Linked DNA regions of Drosophila melanogaster. Changing the gene in region 2 together with the main gene of any one other region gives a genetic interaction. Each region holds a gene or a part of one and is shown on either strand. Other genes may lie near its edges.

What was found. Genes that interact genetically often act in the same process or in processes that back each other up.
Region 1: of Mi-2 (region 2) and Kr, changing one enhances a phenotype caused by changing the other (phenotypic enhancement), as found in Drosophila melanogaster (2 studies listed by BioGRID).

The regions. Positions count from the first base shown.
Region 1 is NT_033778.4:25,224,611-25,228,363, forward strand, and holds the start of Kr (kruppel), read left to right. Parts: upstream 1-2,000; 5' UTR 2,001-2,341; coding exon 2,342-2,378; intron 2,379-2,751; coding exon 2,752-3,753. UniProt on the Drosophila melanogaster protein: Krueppel is a gap class segmentation protein. It is involved in the segmentation of the embryo and in the differentiation of the Malpighian tubules.
Region 2 is NT_037436.4:19,908,400-19,912,152, forward strand, and holds the start of Mi-2 (Mi-2), read right to left. Parts: upstream 1,817-3,753; 5' UTR 1,681-1,816; coding exon 1,644-1,680; exon of another isoform or gene 1,235-1,643; intron 1,181-1,234; exon of another isoform or gene 799-1,180; intron 1-798. Other genes in the region: Prp3 (precursor RNA processing 3), read left to right, coding at 2,079-3,120, 3,175-3,753. UniProt on the Drosophila melanogaster protein: ATP-dependent chromatin-remodeling factor which acts in nucleosome-remodeling by catalyzing ATP-dependent nucleosome mobilization. Involved in regulating transcription. Plays a vital role in development.

The sequences.
Region 1 (3,753 bases), on a different chromosome or scaffold from region 2:
CATTTCCCCTTTGATGACAACCCTCGTTTTCACTTCATATATTTGCTCAATAATTGATATATTCTTGCGAAAAATAATATAGTTTAAAATGTTTTAGCTTAGCGCGTGGTTTCTTTGAAAATAAAGCTTAGCGCGATTAGAATATGAGTTTGACCCAGCTTTACAAACTACTCATTAATATTAAAGAATAATAACTAACTAAACTAATTTTGTTGACCCAGGTAAGTTCCCATATTTCGGACCTTATCAGCGGCCTCGACCATACGCACTTTACACGCACTTCTGCCCCATTCACTCGGAAATCTTTAGTTCGCTTTGCCAATCAAAATCTAGTCTATTTTTCTTTTACTCGCTTTGATACTATTCTAGTTTAGTGATTGCCGACAAAGTCATTAACGATAAGGCCCGGATCTTATTAAAATCTGTTGAGCTTAAGTGGATCTTTCAATATCAAGCCTCTGCTTATCACGCAAACAACCAAAAAAAATTTCTGACTAATCGCCGAAACATAGGAATCGTATGAAGATTTTCTAAAACCGGTCAGCTCAGCCCGAAATTTAAGAATTTCTTATCAATAGGGTCAGTTTTAAGCGCTTTGCTTGCATATTATTTAATGCCTTCTGCGAATTTTGTTTTGGTGAAAAACTTTCTATGAAGTCGAACATTCGATGACAAAACCATTATAATTTTACGTAACATTATGCAGAGCAAGGATATTTGTGTGCCTTTCTGCTTTTGTTTGGTTTCACTTTCTTAAAATCCACGGTAGTTCAAATTTACCACCCGGTGAGCTCTGAGCGTCCTTGGCCTACCTACAAAACCAAAAATACCGATTTTCAACATAAATTTAACATAGCATGTCCTTGCCATAAAAATCTACATAAAACCATTTAAAAGTCAATCCGCAAAAGTCACAGAAAACGTCTATACAAGCAAGAAAATTTCAACGATGCAGCTCTCTTACAATTTTTTATTATATTTCCTTTCTACCTGAATCCGTTTTTTACTAGTTCCTTTTTACGATTTCTTTTTTAGACGTGTGCCAATAATTAGTTGTCCATTAAACTGAACTTCCACGTCTTTGAGACTTTGCTCAACAGGCTACAAGGAAGACAAAAAACTCACTCAGTATAGCTGGTAAAAAACCGTCGACCTTCTTTCTTACTTTCTGCACTCCTTAAGCCGATGTTTTGTTTACTTCCTGTTTACTCGTACAGCGCACGCTTGAAATTCAACCCCGTCCGTGACATCTCTTTTCATGAATTTTGGCTCTTTTGCTCTCGCTGTTTCATTTTCGCCCTGTTCTCCATTGGCGTTCATCCCCCTTAGACACATTAGTTATTTTCTATAGCTCAAATGTAAAAAGGGGAAATGACAAAGGCACATCTGAGTGAGTTTTTGTTGTGCGTCCCTTACTAACTCTAAAAACTTCTACGTGATCTTTATGTGGTGTAATATTCCTGCAAGTGCAGTTTTTATGAAGGCTCTAAAAAACACAAGCGGAAGTGGTCATAAGCATTAAAAAATGTCCTTTAACGGTCAACACATAGTTCTGATTTTTTATGTTTTATTACTGACTAGAAACGTAAAGGTCATAAAACCCTCTACTCAGCGAAGATAATTCGCATCGACAACCTATGTTAAAAAACCACATCGTCCATATTTGACTCTAACTGACTATATATCTTTTGCATTGAAAGGAACCTCTAGCTGTCTCATTCGCACCAATTTGCATATGAAAAATTAGCACTTTTAGGTATAAAAAGGAATCGATGAAATCAACTCACTCAACTCAGCGAAGTACCCAGTTTTTACTTTACCTGCTCAGGCTTGGGGATCGTTTTTCGCTTTCGCCGTGATGATTTCCCTTCCTGTCTGCACCCTTATTTGCGTGCGTGTGAGCGGGAGAGCCAATTGAGTCCCGGCGTGTGTGCGTACGAGGGTGAGTGAGAATCTTTCGCCGAGACAGAGCGTACTTATAGTTAGCTCACGCAGCGAATTTGTATCAGTCGTGATTTGGCTCTGTCAGCGAAAGGAACAACCATTTGTTGTGCCACACACAACCGCGAGTAATATAATCGAATCAAATTTCAACTACCTCATTTTGCTAAATCGGTAAACTTTTATAAAAGACAATTTTTGTGAAATCTCTCTACCTCAAAGTACAAAAGTGTGTACAAAAATTATTCATATCCCTGAAAGTGCACAAATTGCTCAAATGAAATTTTGTTGTCTAAAAAACTGAAGCTCCAAAACCACGAAGGCGAATATTATAGGTGTTTTCTGTGTGCGGGAAAACATTGCGCGAGCACAAAATTAGGAGCACAAGAAGAATTTGTTGATGTCCATATCAATGCTTCAAGACGCACAAACGCGAAGTAAGTATTAGACCAAATTAAAATATTCCCCAAGTTTGTAAACTATCTAGAAGTTCTAGAGTCCCCGATCACTTTCTCATTATTAAACAGTCCGATGTCTTTAGGATAGAAAATACAAATGTAATGTAATTGCACACATACCGATTAGTTAGAATTTGTTTACATGTTTGGACAGGAACCGGCACTTAACTCGTTATCGACCAAAACAAAAACTAGTTAGACGAAAATAGAGAGCTGCGAAAACACTAAGAGTTCTCTCCGTACGAAACTTTCTCTCACACATGTATCATATGTAAAATTTTTTTCTCTTTTAAGCCGTTGCTCTTAAGACATTTCCAAATGAAAACATACTAACTTATGATTTTTTTTTTAGCCTTAGCTGCTGCATTAGCTGGCATAAAACAAGAGGACGTTCATCTAGACCGTTCCATGTCGCTATCGCCCCCCATGTCGGCCAACACATCAGCTACAAGCGCCGCTGCGATTTATCCAGCTATGGGTCTCCAACAGGCGGCCGCTGCCTCAGCTTTTGGAATGCTCTCACCTACCCAACTTCTGGCTGCAAACCGTCAAGCTGCCGCATTCATGGCCCAACTGCCCATGAGCACATTGGCCAACACTCTCTTTCCACACAATCCGGCGGCTTTGTTTGGGGCTTGGGCTGCCCAACAGTCGCTCCCGCCCCAGGGTACGCATTTACATTCGCCGCCAGCCAGCCCGCACTCGCCGCTGTCCACTCCTTTAGGTAGTGGCAAGCACCCATTAAATTCCCCCAACAGCACTCCCCAGCACCATGAGCCAGCGAAGAAGGCTCGAAAGTTATCGGTTAAGAAGGAGTTTCAGACCGAGATCAGCATGAGTGTAAACGATATGTACCATACATCGGGAGGCCCAATATCTCCGCCTTCCAGTGGCAGCTCTCCTAATTCAACGCACGACGGAGCGGGTGGAAATGCTGGATGTGTCGGTGTCTCCAAGGATCCATCTCGCGACAAAAGCTTCACCTGTAAAATCTGCTCACGCAGCTTTGGCTATAAGCACGTGCTTCAGAACCACGAACGCACCCACACCGGTGAGAAGCCTTTCGAATGTCCGGAGTGCCACAAGCGGTTTACTCGTGACCATCACTTAAAAACCCACATGCGTTTGCATACTGGAGAAAAACCATATCATTGCTCGCACTGCGATCGTCAATTCGTTCAGGTGGCCAATCTTAGACGACATTTGCGAGTCCACACTGGAGAGCGTCCCTATACTTGTGAAATCTGCGATGGCAAATTCAGTGACTCCAATCAGCTTAAGTCCCACATGCTGGTACACAACGGTGAAAAGCCGTTCGAGTGCGAACGGTGTCACATGAAGTTCCGACGGCGCC
Region 2 (3,753 bases):
CGCCCACAGTGCAACAGCGTCGAACGGAGAAGCAGAAGAGAGGCGAATGAGGGCAGGGACAGAAGAGAGAAGAGGCCTGTAGACAGAAGAGGAACAGCTGCGAACGAATTAACATAAATTGTATGCAAAATTGGGGTGGCTATGGATACTGCTGCTTTTTGTTACACAGCGGCGGCATATTGTTTATCAGTTTTCCTATGAACTACTACTACATTCCAGCAATTTCCTCGCGAGACGGGCACCTTCCCATCCCATCCCTTGGCATCGTCTCTTTTCCACACTCTACTTTTCTCCTTCTTCATCTTACTTGTGTGTTGGCATATTTTGATTAACTCGTTAAAAAGACTATACTTTAGTTGTTTTGCAGGCACTTCGGTAGGATTGCATTGGTAGCTATATTTTTGTTGTTGTTTTTAACTAAATTTAATTTAAACGCGTCGGGTTTCTGTGAGTTTTTTTTTATCATATACGTTGGAGCGACAGAGACGGGGCGACGGCGACGTTTGGCTGGAGCGCGCGTGCATAACACGCACACACACAGAGACGCAAGTACGCGAGAGAGTGGAGAAATCAATCAAGAGAGCACGTCGGCGAAGGGGGAGTGGAAAAAATCACATATGTATGTGCGTCAGTGGAAGTGCGACAAGATTTTCCACAATATTCCACGCATCTTTGTTTCGTTTCTTTAGATATATGCACATATTGCTTCGTTTTCTTTTTGCATTGCTTTCTTACACAATTTATAATATATATATGCATATTTTGTGGTAATTTCAGGTTTTTATTTTTTGCACACACTTTTCATCATTCTTTTTTCGCTTTTCCTTCAGTTGGATATATTACGCACTGGATTTGTGGCTTTACACTGGCAATCGGTAGGCGGTGGCGAGTAATGCACGTATTCCCCTTAATTAACAGTTTTCTCTACAATTAATAATGTAATCTCTTTAACAAAAACTCAGAAATCACGTCATGGCTGCCACGTCCAAGCAACAATGAATGTAAATGGTGGCAGATGAGGCCGTCTGGGCATTCTCGACTAGCTCCAAAAGGGGCACACTATTTTTCTGGTGATACCATTGCACAGCCGATGATAACACTGCATATACGGTAACACCACAATAAGTGTGAACTAAAATGAATTTTCCGTATATTACAATTGACACTTGACAATTCACAGGTAAAGTAAACATCTTAATTGCTAAAGAACTTAAGATAAAACTTAATTTTAAAGGATTTACAGAGTATTCCACTCAAAACTTTCGACCAAAACAACCATGTAAAACATATGTTTTGATGAGTGAGCAGGACGTCTATATATTGCCTGCATTCGCGAATGGAGGGAACACAAAAATGCAATAAAAAATATGTGTGGAATGGAGGAGGCGCAAAAGACCCCAAAAAAACGCGCCACACATGTACAAATTTCACCAATTGCTGTAATACAAATAGTTTATAACGAGGTACAGCAATGACAATGACCAATTAGGATAATAGGCAACAATAAACAATGGGAGGGGGACGCAGCACGCTGCGCGGCTTTGCGGCTCTTGAACATGACCACGGTTCTTAGCCTGACCGAGCGACGGTCGGACCGAGTTTTTTTCACGCCGACATTTGGCCGACTGAAACAATGCACTTACCCTGGAAATTATCGTCATTCTCTTCCTCCGATGCCATTGTAGCACTCGAATGCAACTTTTACACTGTTTGAGCACACGAAATTGTCTTAATTTCCACAACAAATAATTAAGCACACACAGACACGACGAGAAAAAAATAGTCAATTGTAAGCGGCTTCAACAAATATGGCGGAGCGGAGAGCGACAAAAAGTGAGAGAACTAGGGTTGCACCCCGATAAAAGAAAGCGAAACGGTCACACTGGCGACATGACAACCCTGACTTTTATGTTTTTTTAACGACCCTGTCCTAACGTGTTTCGGAGAATTTTTCACCAAAGACCAAAAACCTTGTGTATTGTTTTTGAATTGCAAATCGCTGATTTAAGCTCAAGGAATGTGCCAAGCAGTTGGTAAATAACATTTACTTTTTAGTCCGACCCATTTAATTGCGAATTATGTCGTCCATTATCACGCGCAAGGATGGCGACGACCAGAAATTGTCCAAAAAGCGCGCTGCCGCCTCAGATTCCAAAAGTGGTGGTGGAAGCGCCCTTGAAGCGCCCAAGAAATCCCGCTTCGATGTCCCGGAAAAGAATGGCGGCGGTGGTGAGAAGAAAGAAGAGGTCGCCGTGCCCGCCTCGCTGAGTTCCACGCAGATCAAGCTGATGATGGCCCATGCCCAGCGGGAGATCGAGGAACGCAAGCGGGCCCTGAGTAATCTAAGAGACAAGGATCCGCTGCTGGCGTCAGTTCCATCGATCGGAATGCCAGTTGCCTTAGCCACTCAAGCGCTGGCGAAGAAGCCCACGCCCGAGGACTCGGAGAAGGCCAGGAAGATTGCCGAGTTGCAGGCACAGATCAGGGCCAAGCTTACTGGCAATTTGGCTAGTTTGATTCAGCCCACTGCGGTAGCGGCCGCCGCTGCAGCTGCTGCTCAAGCGCAGGAGCGACCCAAACCCCTGATTCTGGACGATGAAGGACGCACTGTGGACAAGAGCGGACGTACCATTAATATTCCCACGGTGACACCTACATTGAAAGCCAACATACGCGCCAAGAAACGGGAGGTGTTCCAACGCCAAACGGGTTTGGGTGAACGGAGTGAATCGGGCACTTCGGCCCAGGAAGAAGCTATTAAGTACTTTGACGACCGCATAGCCCTGAAGCCCACTGTTAGAACCAAGAGGACGTTGAGATTCCACGAGCCCGGAAAGTTCCAGCAGCTGGCCGAACGAATGCGCATGAAAAGCCAGCTGGAGCGACTACAGAATGAGATTTCGCAAATAGCCCGGAAAACGGGCATCTCGTCGGCCACCAAACTGGCATTGATTGCCCCCAAGCAGGACATGCCGGACGATGTGCCTGCCATGGAGTGGTGGGACTCAGTTATACTGACCCAGGATCTGGAGACGGTAGACGACGCAAGCGGTAAGATAAGCATACGCCAAACAGCCATAACCAACCTTATAGAGCATCCCACACAAATGAAGCCGCCAAGTAAGTTGAAAGCTAGAACATGTCCCACAAGCAACTAACCACCTACTCCTTCAGATGAGCCCTTGAAACCAGTGTATCTGCCGGTTTTCCTCACAAAGAAAGAGCGCAAAAAGCTTCGTCGCCAGAACCGTCGCGAGGCCTGGAAGGAGGAGCAGGAGAAGATCCGACTGGGTTTGGTGGCCCCACCAGAGCCGAAACTGCGCATATCCAACCTGATGCGTGTGCTTGGCTCGGAGGCCGTACAAGATCCGACCAAAATGGAGCAGCATGTGCGCGACCAGATGGCCAAGCGGCAGAAGGCGCACGAAGATGCCAACAATGCGCGCAAGCTGACCAGCGAGCAGAAGAGCGAAAAGAAGCAGCGCAAGCTGAGGGAAGACACCAGCTGCGGTGTACATGTCAGCGTCTATCGCATACGAGATCTGCAGGACAACCAGAGCAAGAAATTCAAGGTGGAGACCAATGCCAAGCAGCTGCAGATGACCGGCAGCGTGGTGTTGTTCCGGGATTGCTGTGTGGTTGTCGTGGAGGGTGGGCCCAAGCAGCAGAAAAAGTATCGCAGGCTCATGCTAACGCGCATTAAGTGGGAGGAGGACAACGCCAAGGGCAATGACGGCCAGGACGTGCCGAACT